Linked DNA regions of Stegostoma tigrinum. Each later gene encodes a partner of the first gene's protein in a complex. Links are inferred from orthologs where the notes say so. Each region holds a gene or a part of one and is shown on either strand. Other genes may lie near its edges.

What was found. Proteins that work in one complex are often made in the same cells at the same time.
Region 2: crnkl1 (region 1) and rbmx2 share a complex: the UniProt entries of both Homo sapiens proteins name them as parts of the minor spliceosome. The link is inferred for Stegostoma tigrinum from reciprocal best matches to the Homo sapiens genes CRNKL1 and RBMX2.

What each region holds. Positions count from the first base shown.
Region 1 is NC_081362.1:14,517,243-14,525,114, forward strand, and holds the start of crnkl1 (crooked neck-like protein 1), read left to right. Parts: upstream 1-4,556; 5' UTR 4,557-4,678; coding exon 4,679-4,726; intron 4,727-7,872. Other genes in the region: cfap61 (cilia- and flagella-associated protein 61), read right to left, coding at 1,276-1,418. UniProt on the Homo sapiens protein: Involved in pre-mRNA splicing process. As a component of the minor spliceosome, involved in the splicing of U12-type introns in pre-mRNAs.
Region 2 is NC_081368.1:47,499,397-47,507,681, reverse strand, and holds the start of rbmx2 (RNA-binding motif protein, X-linked 2), read right to left. Parts: upstream 3,589-8,285; 5' UTR 3,389-3,588; coding exon 3,384-3,388; intron 1-3,383. UniProt on the Homo sapiens protein: Involved in pre-mRNA splicing as component of the activated spliceosome. As a component of the minor spliceosome, involved in the splicing of U12-type introns in pre-mRNAs.

The sequences.
Region 1 (7,872 bases):
AGAACCAAAAGGTGAACTATTACTTATGTAGAGAAAAACTTCAAAAAATGCAGTACAAAGTGATCTGGGCGATCTTGTATACAAGGCATAAAAAGTAAGCTTGCAGACAAGTAGTTAAGAAGACAAATGGAATTTTGGCCTTCATAACTATGTGGTAGAGTTTAAAAATAGGGAAGTCTTGTTACAACTGTAAAGGGTGTTGGTGAGGCGACACCCTGAAGTACTGTCTTGGTCCTCGTATTTCAGAAAGGATATACTGGTATTGAAAGCAGCTCAAAAAAGATTCACATGGCTGATTCCTGGGATGAAGGGATTGACTTTTCAAAAATGGCTGAAATGGTTAGGCCATTATTTATTACGGTTTAGAAGCAGGAGGGATAATCTTATTGAAGTGTACAAAATTCCGAGCATCTTGACTGGGTAGATATTGAAAATACAATTCCACTACTGGGAGAATCTTAAACTTGGCAACATAGTTACATAAAAAGGGGATACTTATTTAAAACTATGATGTGAAGGGATTTATTCTCTCAGAGGATAGTGAACGGCTGGAATTCTCTACCACAGAGTTGTAGAGGTTAGATCAAAGAAAATGTTTAAACAGAGAACAGATAGATTTTTGAACTATTAGGAATTGAGGGCTACAAGCAGATGCCACAAAAGAGGAGTTGAGGCCCGCACAGATCAGCCATAATCTTACTGAATGGCAAGGCAGGCGTGAGGGGCCAAATGTCTACTCCTGCTTCTACTTCTTATGATTTTATGCCTTTCAGAGAGATTCCTCCAGTTGCTTCGTATTTTCCCTAGCTTTTCATTTGCTCGTATGTTATTAAATCTCAAGCTTCTTCCAGATCTGCTGCAAGGTGACCGACATTAGATATTAATTCTGTTTATATCCCTGCAGAATATACTTGACTTGTTGGGTTTTTCCAGCAAGTTCTACTTATATTTTGTAGCACATTGCCTTGAAGGTGCAGAATGGCACAGAAAATGGCAGTGTGACAGGGCAAAGTAAGCTCTGAAATAGGTGCATGTCTGTTAATCTCACTGATTTAGATTGTAATAATTCATGAATCGTCTTTGTACATTAAAATAAAGATTAAAGGAAATTCTGATCCATCAATTTGAGCTGCAATTATTTGCACTAGGTAGCTTTTTATCCTCAGTTGTATTAGTGCACCTAATCACTATAAAACACATATATTAGTTCTGTAGGTTTCAATGAAAACTACTTTTCTAAGGCCTTATTAATGGACATTCTTTACATATACATACAGTAGATAGATGATATTAATTCTTCCAAACATGGCTGTTGTACTGAGGGTGAACAGTTTCATAATCTGCTGTGCATCTTGAGATTCTGACCGTCTGACATTTATTACTAGACTTCCTCCACCTGAAGCATATATTGTTGTCATTGTTGTTCTGGAAGAGAATGTACAGATAAGGAACTGAAATTACAGCATGGCATGAGGTTTTGAAGATACTTACTCAAGGTCATAACAAGCATAATTAGAAAAAACAATATTTTCAGTCGCAGATATTCAACAGCATAAATTGAAAGAATATGATAATCTTGTATAAAAATCACCAGGCCAAATTTTGAGCTCCAATAACCACTATAGATTTAAGGAGCTAAATAAATGACTAGGTATTGCAATTTAAAATTAAAATACAATGCAACTAAATGATATTACTGTATCATTAGAGGCCGAGATAATAGATAAGGTTACAAAAAGCACCTTACAAATTTTGACTCCTATCCTGCTGGACATCCTGTGAACTATATTTTGACTCTTTAAAAAGTCATTAATGAAATGAAGTTAACAAGATATCCATGATCAATATAAATTGTCAAAGTTACTTAGGTTATTTTTATTTATTCTCAGAATATGATTGTCACCAGGAATTTTTGGGCATTCCTAGTTATCTTGTGATCACTGAGGGCCTTCTCTTTGAGACACTTCAATCCTTGAGATGATGATATTTCACCATGGAATTAGGTACTTTCTAGGATGTTGCCCAATCAATGAGGAAAAACAATGATAACATGGATTTTCTTCACAACATAAGTTACACCACCACATCTCACAGATTTTGTCCCAAAGTCAAACTGTATCCAGCCATAAATTTGGAAAAAATATTGGAGGAAAAATATTAATGCATAAAGAAAATTACATATTGCACATAATAATTCTACTGGCTATAAATATCATTTCTTCAAGTTTGTTGGTAAACAACTTCAAATGATACAGAATAAAAACTGAAGCTATCCCCAGGTCAGGCTCATCTGTGGAGACACAAGAACAGTTATTCATTTCCAGAAGGAATAAACAGTAAAAGCTGCAAAATGACACACCGTGGTCAGACTTGTCTTGTGTATTTCAAAATGAACATTCAGTAGGACCAGTGATAATGGGAACTGCAGATGCTGGAGAATTTCAGTGGGGGGAGGGGAAGAACTGGGCTGGTTTTGGGATGCAGTGGGGGAAGGGGGAGATTTTGAAGCTTGTGAAGTTCACATTGATACCATTAGGCTGCAGGGTTCTGCTGTTCTTGCAACCTTCCGGTGGCATCATTGTGCCACTGCAGGAGGCCCATGATGGACATGTCGTCTGAGGAATGGGAGGGGGAGTTAAAATGGTTCACGACTGGGAGGTGCAGTTGTTCGTTGCGAACCGAACGGAGGTGTTCGCTGCACCTCCCAGTCGTGAACCATTTTAACTACCCCTCCCATTCCTCAGACGACATGTCCATCATGGACCTCCTGCAGTGCCACAAAGATGCTATCTGAAGGTTGCAAGTACAGCAAAACCCGGCAGCCCAATGGTATCAATGTGGACTTCACAAGCTTCAAAATCTCCCCTTCCCCCACTGCATCACAAAACCAGCCCAGCTCGACCCCTTCCCCCACTGCATCCCAAAACCAGCCCAGCCTGTCTCTGCTTCCCTAACCTGTTCTTCCTCTCACCTATCCCTTCCTCCCACCTCAAGCCGCACCTCCATTTCCAACCTACTAACCTCATCCCACCTCCTTGATCTGTCCGTCTTCCCTGGACTGACCTATCCCCTCCCTAACTCCTCATCTATACTCTCCTCTCTACCTATCTTCTCTTCTCTCCATCTTAGGTCCGCCTCCCCCTCTCTCCCTATTTATTCCAGTTCCCTCTCCCCATCCCCCTCTCTGATGAAGGGTCTAGGCCCGAAACGTCAGCTTTTGTGCTCCTGAGATGCTGCTTGGTCTGCTGTGTTCATCCAGCTCCACACTTTGTTATTCAGTAGGACCAGTACTTCCATTTCTGAGTGTTATCACTTTCTCTCACCACGGGTTAGAATATATTTCACAGGATCTGTAACATGTCTGACAAAATTCAGATTCTCTTCTCATATTTGTCTTACTCTATCCATCCTGGTGTAGTTAGAAAGCACTTCTACACACAAAAGTTAGTGGAGGTTTAGACTCTCTTCCACAAACAGCAGTTAAAATTCCTGTAGCACAGAAAGAAACCACTCAGCCTAAGTCTGGACAGACCCTCCAAACAGCATCCCATCCAGACCAATCACCCAAGCTATCTCTATAACCCAACATTCGCCATGACTAATCCATCTAGCCTGCACATCCATGGGCATTATGAGGCAATTTAGCATGGCCAATCCACCTAACTTACATAACTTTGAACTGTGGTGGGAAATCACAGACACAGGGAGAACATGCAAACTCATGGCTGGAATCAAAACAAAGTCCCTAGCCCAATGAGGTAGCATAGTTAACCAGCGGGCCACTGTGCCCTAAGTTCATTCTTTCATATGAATAAAGACATTAATTTAGCCAAGAAGGTCAGGCAAAGCCTGTGGAGATAAAATTTCAATTCAGTTAACGTGAGTCAAAACTGGTCACTAGAATTTCTGAAACATCAACTCTTCTCTTCATAAATGCTGCTAGATCTTGTTTCTCCTGCAATGTTTTTGTTATTGTATCAGATGTCCAGCACCTGCAACTCTTTGTTTTACCACTGAGTTTGACCAAGTCTAAGTTCAGTTTTATAATAAATCAAAGAACTGAGAATGATGGAAATCTGAAACAAAAGCAGAAATTGCTGGAGGATCTCAACAGGTCTGACAGCATTTGTGGAGAGAGAAACAGAGTTAATAATTCAAGTCCAGAGACCCTTTTTCAGACCCTCGTGAAAAAGTCGCTGGTCTCTACACGGCAGCTAACAGACCTACTGAGTTTCTCCAGCAATTTCTGTTTTTGTTTTTGCATCAGATCTTCGCAATTCGCAATAATTTGATTTATTAATGAATTTAGGCAAGTCTGGGCACACCTTTATAATCTCTGTCTACACCGAATATTAAGTTTTACCCTATCCCAGACTTAAAAAGCCCGTCACCCAATTTTTTTTTGATTAAAAAAAGAAACAAAACCTCAGCCTCCGCCGCAGCCTTCGCGCCCAAGAAGCCACAAAATGTCTTAGCAACGCGGTGTACCGGTGCCATGGCAACTGCCGTTGCTAGCACGTGGTGCGCTGCCGGGTCGGAGGTTACGTCGCGGGGTACCCGGATGTTTCTCGGGATGTTACCGGAGTGGTAGTGACGGCGGCAGGGTCTTGTTTTATTTTTTTGATCCCGAATTAGCAAAAGAACGATTAAGGGGGGGGGCTGAAATTACGACCCGAAAATGGCTTCAACCGCGGCTGGAAAACAGCGAATCCCCAAAGTGGCCAAGGTAACCAGCACTTTGCTAGGACTGTGTCGGGCCCTGTCAGGCTTTGCAGGAATTGACCAACACCGACGTTTATTCTCGACCGACAACAGCAGCAATCAATCTGTATGTCCTTGCGGTTAAAGTCAGGATGTTTAAAGTCTGGCGCAAGGACTGAGCGGTTCCTGTACTCCTCCGAACACATTTACATGCAATTTTCAACTCATGACAACCCCCGCCCCCCCGTTTGTTTCCTTTTAGAGGAAGGGCTTACATTTCCGTACCGCCTTAAGGGGATATCAAGACCATTTTAAAGTATAGTAAGTGAGGTTACAGTGAGTTAAACCTTGTTACAGTTGGAACCAAAGACACACCATATGCAAGTTTAAACGATCAACTAGCCTTAAAGTTTCTGCTTAATGCGCCTACTAGTCCAGAAAAGTTACTTGAATGTTTTGGGGCACTTCAAATGTCTCCAAAATAAATTACCCATTGTATACGTTTGTTTATATTTTGAACTTCTGTAATCATCCAATCGTAATTTTCACAAACAGAAATTGCTGGAAAAGCTCAGCGGGTCTGGCAGCTTCTGTGAAGAGAACTCGGAGTTAAGAATCATAGAATCCCTACAGTGTGGAAACAGACCCAACAAGTCCTCGTCTGTTGACAGAGCATCCCACCCATCCCCTTATAACCCACCTAATGTACACATCCCTGAACACTGCAGGCAATTTAGCATGGCCAATCCACCTAGCCTGCACATCTTTGGACTGTGGGAGGAAACCCATGCAGATACTGGGAGAATATGCAGACTTCGCACAGACAGTCACCCGAGGCTGGAATCGAACCCAGGTCCCTGGCTCTGTGAGGCAGCAGTCCTAGCCACTGTGCTACCCCGCTAACGTTTCAAGTCCAGTGACTCTTCCTCAGAACATGCAGGCTGGGAACCAATGTTTTCTATGCAGAAGATAAGGTGGAGGGAGGGGTGGTTAAGGAATAAATGTTATGTGGGTTACCACCCAGGGAGAGAGAACAGTTGGGCAGACAAAGGAGTGGGTAACGATCAGGCTAGGAGGGTGAACAGATGTTAATGGAGACTGTTAGTATGCCAATACACACTACCTACTGTTAGCCATTGTGTGTGGGTTTGGGGGCTAGGACATAGGAGAGTTTAGGCCCTAAAATAATTGAACTCAATATTGAGTCCGGAGGGCTGCAGGGTCCCCAAGTGGAAAATGAGCTGTTGTTCTTCCGGTTTGCTCTGAGCTTCATTAGAACACTGCCGCAAACCTGAGACAGATGTTAGAACATAGAAAAGTACAGCACAGTACAGGCCCTTCGGTCCACGATGTTATGCCGTGGAATAATCCTAATCCAAAAATAAAATAACCTAACCTACGTTCCCCTCAATTCACTGCTGGCCATGTGCATGTCCAGCAGTTGCTTAAATGTCACTAATGACTCTGCTTCCACGACTACCACTGGTAAACTATTCCATGCGCTCACAACTCTCTGAGTGAAGAACCTCCCTCTGACGTCTCCTCTATACCTTCCGCCTAACACCTCAAAACTATGACCCCTTGTGGCAGTCAATCCTGCCCTTGGGAAAAGTCTCTGGCTATCGACTCTATCCATGCCTCTCATTACCTTGTACACCTTGATCAGGTCACCTCTCTTCCTCCTTCTCTCCAGAGAGAAAAGTCTGAGCTCAGTCAACCTCTCCTCGTAAGAAAAGCCCTCTAGTCCAGGCAGCATCCTGGTAAACCTCCTTTGCACCCTCTCCAAAGCCTCCACATCTTTCCTAAAATAGGGCGACCAGAACTGGACACAGTATTCCAAGTGTGGTCTCACTAGGGTTTTGTAGACCTGCAGCATAACCTCGCGGCTCTTAAACTCAATCCCCCTGTTAATGAAAGCCAAATCACCATATGCTTTCTTAACAACCTTATCCACCTGGGTGGCAACTTTGAGGGAGCTATGCACTTGAACACCAAGATCCTGCTGTTCCTCCACACTGCCGAGAATCCTGCCTTTAATCCTATGTTCAGCATTTAAGTTCGACCTTCCAAAATGCATCACTTCGCATTTATCCAGGTTGAACTCCATCTGCCATTTCTCAGCCCAGCTCTGCATTCTGTCAATGTCTTGCTGAAGCCTGCAATAGCCCTCGATACTATCAATGGCACCTCCAACCTTTGTGTCATCAGCAAACATACTAACCCACCCCTCAACCTCCTCATCCAAGTCATTTATAAAAACTACAAAGAGCAGAAGCCCAAGAACAGAATCCTGCGGGACACCACTCAGCACTGACCTCCAGGCAGAATACTTACCATCTACAACCACTCTCTGCCTCCTGTCAGCCAACCAATTCTGAATCCAGACAGCCAAATCACCCTGTATCCCATACCTCCTGACTTTATGAATGAGCCTGGGGAACCTTATCAAATGCCTTGCTGAAGTCCATAAACCAGGAACAAGGTGATGGCAAGCAACTGGAAACTCAGGGTCTTTTTTGCGAGCAGACTGTATGTATTCTGTGAAGTAGTCACCCAGTCTATGCTTCGTTTCACCAATGTAGAGGAGACCACGTTAGCGGCAAATGCTGTAGACTAGATTATGAGAGGTGCAGGCAATGTGCTGCTTCACCTGGAAGATATGTTTGGGCCCCTGAATACTGACGAAAGAGGAGGCGAATGGGCAGGTGTTATACCTTCGGTTGCAGAGGAAGGTGCCATAGGGTTATGAGGGTATGATGGGAGTGAAGAAGAGTGGACCAGGGTATCCCAGAGAGAACAATCCCTGTGGTAAGCGGCCAAGGGCAGGAAATACATGTCTGGCGGTGGCATCTTGCTGGAGGTGGCGGAAATGTCAACTAATTATCTTCTGGATGGTACATTTAAAAACAAGGGGAACCCTACTGCTGTTCTGCAAGGCAAGAGTGGGTGAGTGCAGAAGTGTGGGAGATGGATCGGACGCGGTTGAGGGCCCTGTCAACGACAGTAGCCCCCAATCCCACATACCAAGCCTTATCACGTAGTCTGCCATTATATATTACCTATTGTTAGCCACTAATAGTCTCCATTAACAGCCCAGAGAGAGAGAACAGTTCACCCTCCTAGCCAGTTCATTAACCACTCCTTTGTTCAACTGTTCTTCTCTCTCTTTTG
Region 2 (8,285 bases), on another chromosome or scaffold:
AATAACATGCCTAAACAGGGTGATTAAAATATTTATCCTCAGGAATTCAAGTCCCACCTGCTCCAGAGAAATACATAATAACATTTCTGAACACGTTGATTAGAAAATATCTAGCATTAGGAGTTCCTGCAAAAATGCCCTAGGGCTGTGATGTTCGCTGTCTAACAACCATGACCATCTTTCTTTTTCCTGGGTATAACTGTAATCAGCAAACAAATGCCATCTTATTCCTACCGATTCCAGGTTTTCCAAGGCTCCTTAAAGCCCTACTTGGTCAAATGCTGTGTTTATGTCAAGGGCAGTCATTTTTACCTCACCTCAACTCTTTTGTCCGTGTTTGGACCAACCTCGTATTAAGGTTGAAAGAACTGTCGATGCTGTAGATCAGGAACAAAAACAGAAGTTGCTGGAAAAGCTCAGTAGGTCTGACAGCATTTGTGAAGAAAAAAATCAGAGTTAACGTTTTGGGTTTGGTGACCCTATCTCAGAACACTTTTGAGGTCAGCAGCTGAGTAATCCTGTTGGAGCTCAAACTGAGAATCAGGCAGTTGTTTAACTAGACTGTGGAACAATGACAAAGGCATCCATCTTAAGATCTAAGCTCTACAGTCCGCTGCATCCAGTTGTGAATGGTGGTGGACTATGTAACAATTCACTGGAGGCGGCGGCTCCACAAAGATCTCTATCTCAATGATTGGGAACCCAGCAGGTCAATGTGAAGGCTTAAGCATTTTCCTACAGTTTCAGCCAAAAGTGTCTAGTGGATGCTCTATCTTAGCTTCTTCCTGAGGTCCCCAGCATCACAGGTTCCAGCTACATCCAGTTCAATTTATTCCACATAATGGCAAATAAAAACTGGTCACTGGACTCTGCAAAGGTAATCGGTCTGGACAACATTCGAGCAATACCACTGATGACTTACGCTTCAGAACTAGCAGCAACCCTAGCTAAGCTCGTACACTGCAGCTACAACATTGGGATCTATCCAGCAATATGTATAATTTCCTGATTACATCCTATCCACAATAAGCAGGACAGATCCCACTCAACAATTCCATCCCATCAGTCTATCCTCTAACGAAAATACAGAAAGCACCATCACCACCTGTGATTTCAAGCAGTACTTACTCAACAACAATTTGTTTACTAGACTCTCAGCTTGGGTTCTAACAGACCACTCTGTTCCTGACCTCATTATAAATTAAGTCAAAACAGCTGAACTCCAGAGGGGCAGTAAGGGTGATTACCTCTATATCAAAGCAGCATTTGACTGTGTATGGCATTAAGGAGCCACAGTAAACTGGAGTTCATCAGAATTGGAGGGGGAGAGGGTAACTCCCTGCTGTTTAGCACACAGGAAGGTGGTTGTGTTGTTGGAGTCAATCAACTGAGACACGGGAGTTACTCAGGGTAGTGTCCCAGACCCGACCATCTTCAACAACATTCTCTCCATTGTAAATGTCAGAAGTGAGATCCTTCACTGATGACTGCACAATTTCTGCACCATTTGCAACTCCTCCAATACTAAAGCAGCCTCTGTCCAAATACTGCCTGTTTGACTGCGACCGCATCTAACACCTTCAACATTCACTGCTTTTACCAGCGACATATAATTACAGCAATGCGTACCATTTACAATTTGCATTTGCAACAACTTGCCAAACTGCTTAGACTCTACCTTCCAAACCCTTGATTTCTATAATCTAGAAGAAAAAGGGCAGAAAATGCATGGGAACACTACCACCCACAAGTTCTCTTTCAAAACACACAAAATTCTGATTTGGATATGAGCTATTCATTGTCATTGGTCAAAATCCCGAATAGATATCTCATCAGCACAAGGATGGGCCAGAGGAAACACCAAGGAGCACAGTAGTTGAAGGTTCACTGCCATTTTCTACAGGGCAACTGATGCTTGGTAGTAAATGCTGACCTTGCCAGCGATTCCCTCATCCCATGAATTAATAAGAAAAGCATTTTACATGTATTGAAAAGAAAACAACATATTCTATCAGAGGAAATTTCCATAGCTTACATTCTGATTCTGCAAACAATAATAAAAAAAATGAAAAAAAACTGCAGATGCTGGAAATCAAAATCAGAAACAGAAACTGCTGGATAAACTCAGCACATCTGGCAGAATCTGTGGAGAGAAATCAAAGTTAATGTTTTGGGGCCAGTGACACTTCCTCAGAACTGAAATTCTTCTCTCCACAGATGCTGCCAAACTTGCTGAGTTTTTCCAGCAATAAATTAAATTAAATTAAATTAAATTAAATAACTTAAATATATTATCCTCAAGTGGATATTTGGCCAAGCTGGTATTTGTAACATTGTTGGGTTGAGTGCAGATGACTACTCAGTCTTTCCCAGACTACATGCACTTACATAAGTGTCATTTGCAATAGACTTTGTCCAGTTGATCTAATGAGAGGCAAGATCATCTGATTTGGGTGCAAACTGTATTCGTTTCAAAATAAAAGAAGTCTTGAACAGAGTTGAGGCTACTTTTCACTCGCATATTAAATGGTAGGACAGAACTGTTTCCAGCATTTTCTAGAGCTATTTTGAATTTCTACACATTTGCTTTCATTTTAGTTTACAGTCACTTCCCTTCCACAAATGCCTAGTTTGAAGAAGCTCACGGTTTTCACCACTGGGTTTACGGTTGTCTCTTTTATTTTGTTCACCACTTCTCCCAAGCTCAGTAATTCATCTTGAAAATGTTCCAAAGGCCCTCTAAATCAGTGCAGAGTGTTGTTTTGCTGGCCAGACGAGCTGAATCCTAGTTCAATAACCCGCATTTTTATTATGCTCCTCAAATACTGTGAAAATCCATGAAACTGCTTCACAGGCTACAGGAAATGATAATGGGAATGGGAAGGGAAACTGGAAACATAAGGAGACAGAAAGGCTTTTGGGAGATTGTTGAAAGAAAAATGTCAAGGCACGGGGTGATGCAAAGGACAAAAATACAGTGACTGACAAAGCAGCAGCTACCATTTCATTCACATTTATGGTCATGCCAAGTTATTAACCTTTCCACGGTTTTATTAACGACTGATTCGTTTCACGTTGAAACTTCAGTTGGCAAACAACTCAGATACTTCTGGCCACATTTTATTCCGATCAAACCACTGTCATTAACCGTCTTTAGTGTTTTACTTAAATAATTCCCAAGAACTAAGAGTTGGTGCTGAAAGCAGGTTCCTTTCTTTCAGGAACGGTGGACATTTTAAATAAAAAATCCTGCCACTGATCCTTTACCACCTTGAAGTAACTCAGAGAAACCTCTTACCTGTCCATACCGGACAGGTAATTTCCTCCCTTTAGTGATGCTGTTTGTTAAACCAGCAACTACATCAATTTAATCGCCTACTCACTTCATTTCGCAGTAAAGTCCCAAATTTTACCACAGCAGCTCCTCATCCCGGATAAGGGCGGAAGGAGAGGAGCAAGAAGGACCGCAACAGGAAAGTGGAGAACTCCGCACACACCACCACCTACTGACGCACGCCACCAATCACACGCTGTGATCGAGATTTCGCTTGAATTCTCAATGTCGGAAAACAATACGCAATTTGGCTACTTGAACAAATGCAGATAAATGCAAATTATAAAATCTGATTAATCCACTGTATTGGAAATGCATAATTGTCATTTGTTCTGACAAAAGGTCATCAACCTTCGGAGAATTTTAATCCCAGTACATGCGAGGATGAGGTTGTCTGTCATTGGGGATAGTGAAAGAAACAGACATTTTTAACACATCCAAGCTGGTTTTCCTTAATTAACTTTCAGTTGTCCCAGTGAGCCGTAACCTTGTCATGTCTGAAAGTTTTGTCATCACCAAGATTAAAATGACTGGATTGAGCTCTTGCGGTGTGGTGCTCGTGCCCCTACTGGGGCCAGGAGCTCAATGTTTTAAGTTGCACGTAGTAAACAGAGGTGTGTCATGATATTTCTGAACAGGCTGATTAAAATATTTAAAGAGACATTCCTGTAGTTGCAATTCTTGTACTGTTTCTTGAACAATAACTTTTGCAATTCTCTAGTCCTCTTGCTTCATTGTTCTACATCTCTGTAATTTTGATGCAAATTTGTTCTCTATATTTTTCACTTTAGTGTCTGATAGAATACATCCAACAATGTAGTGGTACTAAAACAAAAGCTGCTGGAAAAGCTCAGCAAGTCTGGCAGCGTTCTGAGGAAGGGTCACCGGACTTGAAATGTTAACTCTGTTTTTCCCTTCACAGATGTTGTCAAACCTGCTGAGCTTTTCCAGCAAATTTGTTTTTGTTTCTGATTTACAGCATCCGCAGTTCTTCCAGTTTTTATTTGGTATTACTATTGTTTGTTAGCGCTAACAAAATAGTTTCTGTCCTGAACACTTTAGGAGATCCTCTCCCTCTTTTGACACTACGATGTTCTCCTTAATCAGTACAACTATTCCTCGATCTATCTTTCCTTCCCTCTTTTTCCTGAATGCCTCGTATTGGGGATTATTAATACCACACTCTGCCTTTTATTATGCCAGACCTCTTGTTATCACTAAAACATCATATTTCCATGTGGCTACCTGCAACTGGAGCTCACCTGTCTTATTTAGCATGTTCTAATACATTCTTAAAAGTAAATATAGTTTAGACATTAGCACATTTTCTCTCACCCACACCCAAACTAACACCATTTTTCACTCTAATGCTATTTGTCTCTCCTAATCCTCTATATATTTTGATCTTCCTCTTTTATGTCACCTCCTGGTTCCCACACCTCTGCCCAAATGGTTTAAATCGTCCCCAGCAGCAGCAGTAGCAAATAGGCCTGTAAGGACATTGGTCCTGACTCTGTTAAGGTGCACAGGTCACACCTCGCAAGAACCAGTCCCAAAGTGTCAGATATCCAAAGCCCTTCTTCCTGAACCATCCCAGCAAGCACGCTTCAGGCAACCATAACCCGTAAACTCCTAAACAATAGTTTATGTTACTGGGAATAATTTGCAAATTACTACCATTGAGCTCCTGCTAGCTGGCTTCTTTCTAAGATCCCTAATCCATTCTGGAGGACATCATCCTTCTTTCTTACTTACATCCTTAATACTGATAGTAGCCATAAGAGCTGGCTATTTGTCCAGCACGTTCAGAGTGTTTTGTAGCCATTTAGTGATACCCTTGATCTTGGTGCTGAAGAGGCAATTTATCTTGCACTCTTGTCTGCAGCCAGAAAAAAATTCTGTATGTTCCAATAGCTATTGAATCCCTGATGTCTAATGCTTTTCCAATATTCTTCCTGCTTCTCCTGTCGTGTTGAGTAAGCTTGGTAGCAAGGACTAGAAGCTGGCTGGACACACCAAAGGAACCATCATTCATATAACATTCAAAATAGAGAGAGTTTGCCCAAATTGAACTGCCTCCTTGGATAATCTTCACTATCTGACAGTTATCCATTCCTTCTCTGCTTGCATACCTTAAGATTGCAGAGTGACCACATCTATAAATGTACTACACATAAACCCCTCAATCCTGCAGTAATACCTGCTGCTGTTCACACTTGAAAACATGCAGTTTCAGCTGCTGCTGCCACTGAATTCAGTCTTGCACATCTGGTTATCTTGGATTCAAGAATTGTGGACACTCCACAGGTCTGAGCCACCCTGTTAAGTCTGTTTTTTTTAAATCAGATATTGAGCTGACTGATTAAATAAAAAATAGGCATTCACCAACAGCTCAGCAATCACCTACCTCTCTTGTTAGTAAAGTGATTGAAGATTTAAATATGCCTTCTGGTTATAACACCCAGCACAATGTTGTCTCTTGTTATCTAAAATTCCCTGATGTCAATGAGATAAAACCATGAGGATAATGAGAAGGTTGCGAAATTAACAAGATGGAAAGCTTTCAGGTTCTGATATGTCTTTCTATTTCTTCTTCACTCCAACCATCTCCTCTCTCCCCTCATCCCCACCCACTGTAACTGTGGTTAACAGGAGGTGTCAACACTTCTATTTTCCCACTTGCCCTCTGACCAAGAGCTTTAATAAGCTACTCCTTTTCCTATGTTTCTACCACTGCTAATTTCTCCACCTCCCACGTAACACCACCAACAAGTAAATCTTTCCTTCCCTTTCCTCTTGTAAGGGCTGCCCTCAACTGGGACCTAGTTCTGCTAAGAATGTCTTTGGGTAGATATAACCCTGCTTGTAATACTAGACCACAGGACTCAATAATATTAAATGGTTAAGGGTTAACCACCAATAAATCTTTGGCAGACAAGAATGACAAGAAATAGTTTATTACATACTGAGAGAACAGTGCCGGTTCTTTCTGGAAAAAACTTTTATCTTATACCCAAAACTATAAGAAAATATTGACTCTCAAAATATACTTCCATTAGAACAACATTTTTAGATGATGAAATACATCCTTTATTACAGCAGCGGCTGGTTAATCAAATTAGATGTGGTAAGAGACATAGATATCTCCTAAGAGGAACAGCAATTCATATGCCGTTTGGGAACTCTGCAGCCTAATGGTATCAATGTGGATTTCAACAGCTTCAAAATCTCCCCTTCCCCCAATGCATCCCAAAACCAGCCCGGCTCGTCCCTGCCTCTTCAACAAGAACTGACTTGCTCTTCACAGAGACAATTACTGAGATCCTGGTGGGTGGAGCGATACAAATTTTTGAAGGTTAAACTTTTCATGCCAATAATCATATATGATATCTCCCTCCCAGTTTTTCCCTCCTTATTAAACCCGGTATATTATTGTTTAAATAAGCACATCAAGTTTACTACTATTTCTTCTCCCATCAAGTCTCTGACTTTACAAGTTTATGCCAACTTGAAGAAATAGGTGATTTTCTTCTTCACAAAGAATGTTGAAAGTTAATATCTAGAAAGGCTAGTGGGTGTTATATTTTGCTGTGAAGGCATATGAATATTGACACTGAACCACTATGATGCCCAGAGTTTCTTTGATTTCTTCAAAATGTCTGATAGAACTTAAGTATGAAAAGTAGTCTTATCCTTTCAAACTTGTTACAAGGTAAATCTGGTTGAATGTCTCCCAGCCTATCATATTGCCTTTTGGTTGCCGAGATTTCTTTGTTGTTGATGAATTTAGAACCTGAGTATTCTCTTGTTTGTGGAGGATAAGAAACCAGCTCTTAAAACTTTGTGATAATGGGAACTGCAGATGCTGGAGAATCCAAGATAACAAACTGTGGAGCTGGATGAACACAGCAGGCCAAGCAGCATCTCAGGAGCACAAAAGCTGACGTTTCGGGCCTAGACCCTTCATCAGAGAGGGGAAGGGGAGAGGATTCTGAAATAAATAGGGAGAGAGGGGGAGGCGGACTGAAGATGGATAGAGGAAAAGATAGGTGGAGAGGAGAGTGTGGGTTGGGTGGTATGGAGGGGATAGGTCAGCCCGGGGAGGATGGACAGGTCAAGGGGGCGGGATGAGGTTAGTAGGTAGGAAATGGAGGTGCGGCTTGAGGTGGGAGGAGGGGATAGGTGAGAGGAAGAACAGGTTAGGGGGGCAGGGACGAGCTGGGCTGGTTTTGGGATGCAGCGGGGGAAGGGGAGATTTTGAAGCTGGTGAAATCCACATTGATACCATTAGGCTGCAGAGTTCCCAAACAGAATATGAGTTGCTGTTCCTGCAACCTACGGGTGGCATCATTATGGCACTGCAGGAGGCCCAGGATGGACATGTCGTCTAATGAATGGGAGTGGGAGTTGAAATGGTTCACGACTGGGAGGTGCAGTTGTTTACTGCGAACGGAGTCTGGGTGTTCTGCAAAGCGGTCCCCAAGCCTCCTCTTGGTTTCCCCAATGTAGAGGAAGCTACACCGGGTGCAGTGGATGCAGTATACCACATTGGCGGATGTGCAGGTGAACATCTGCTTGATGTGGAAAGTCATCTTGGGGCCTGGGTGTGGGGTCAGGTGTAGCACTTCTTGCGGTTGCAGGGGAAGGTACCGGGTGTGGTAGGGTTGGCGGGGAGTGTGGAGCCAAAAAGGGAGTCACGGAGCCAGTGGTCTCTCTGGAAAGCAGACAGAAAGGTCCAGGAAGGTAAGGGATGTGTTGGAGATGGTCCAGGTGAACTGAAGGTTGGGGTGGAAGGTGTTGGTGAAATGGATGAACTGTTCGAGCTCCTCTTGTGGGCATTAAAAGTTTGTGAAGATTTTTTCATTGGAAATCTTAAAGGTCATAGGTATATGCTTCTGCATGGGTTAGAATGTGAACATTCTAATGAGGCCAGTAAAGTTTTTTCTCTGCC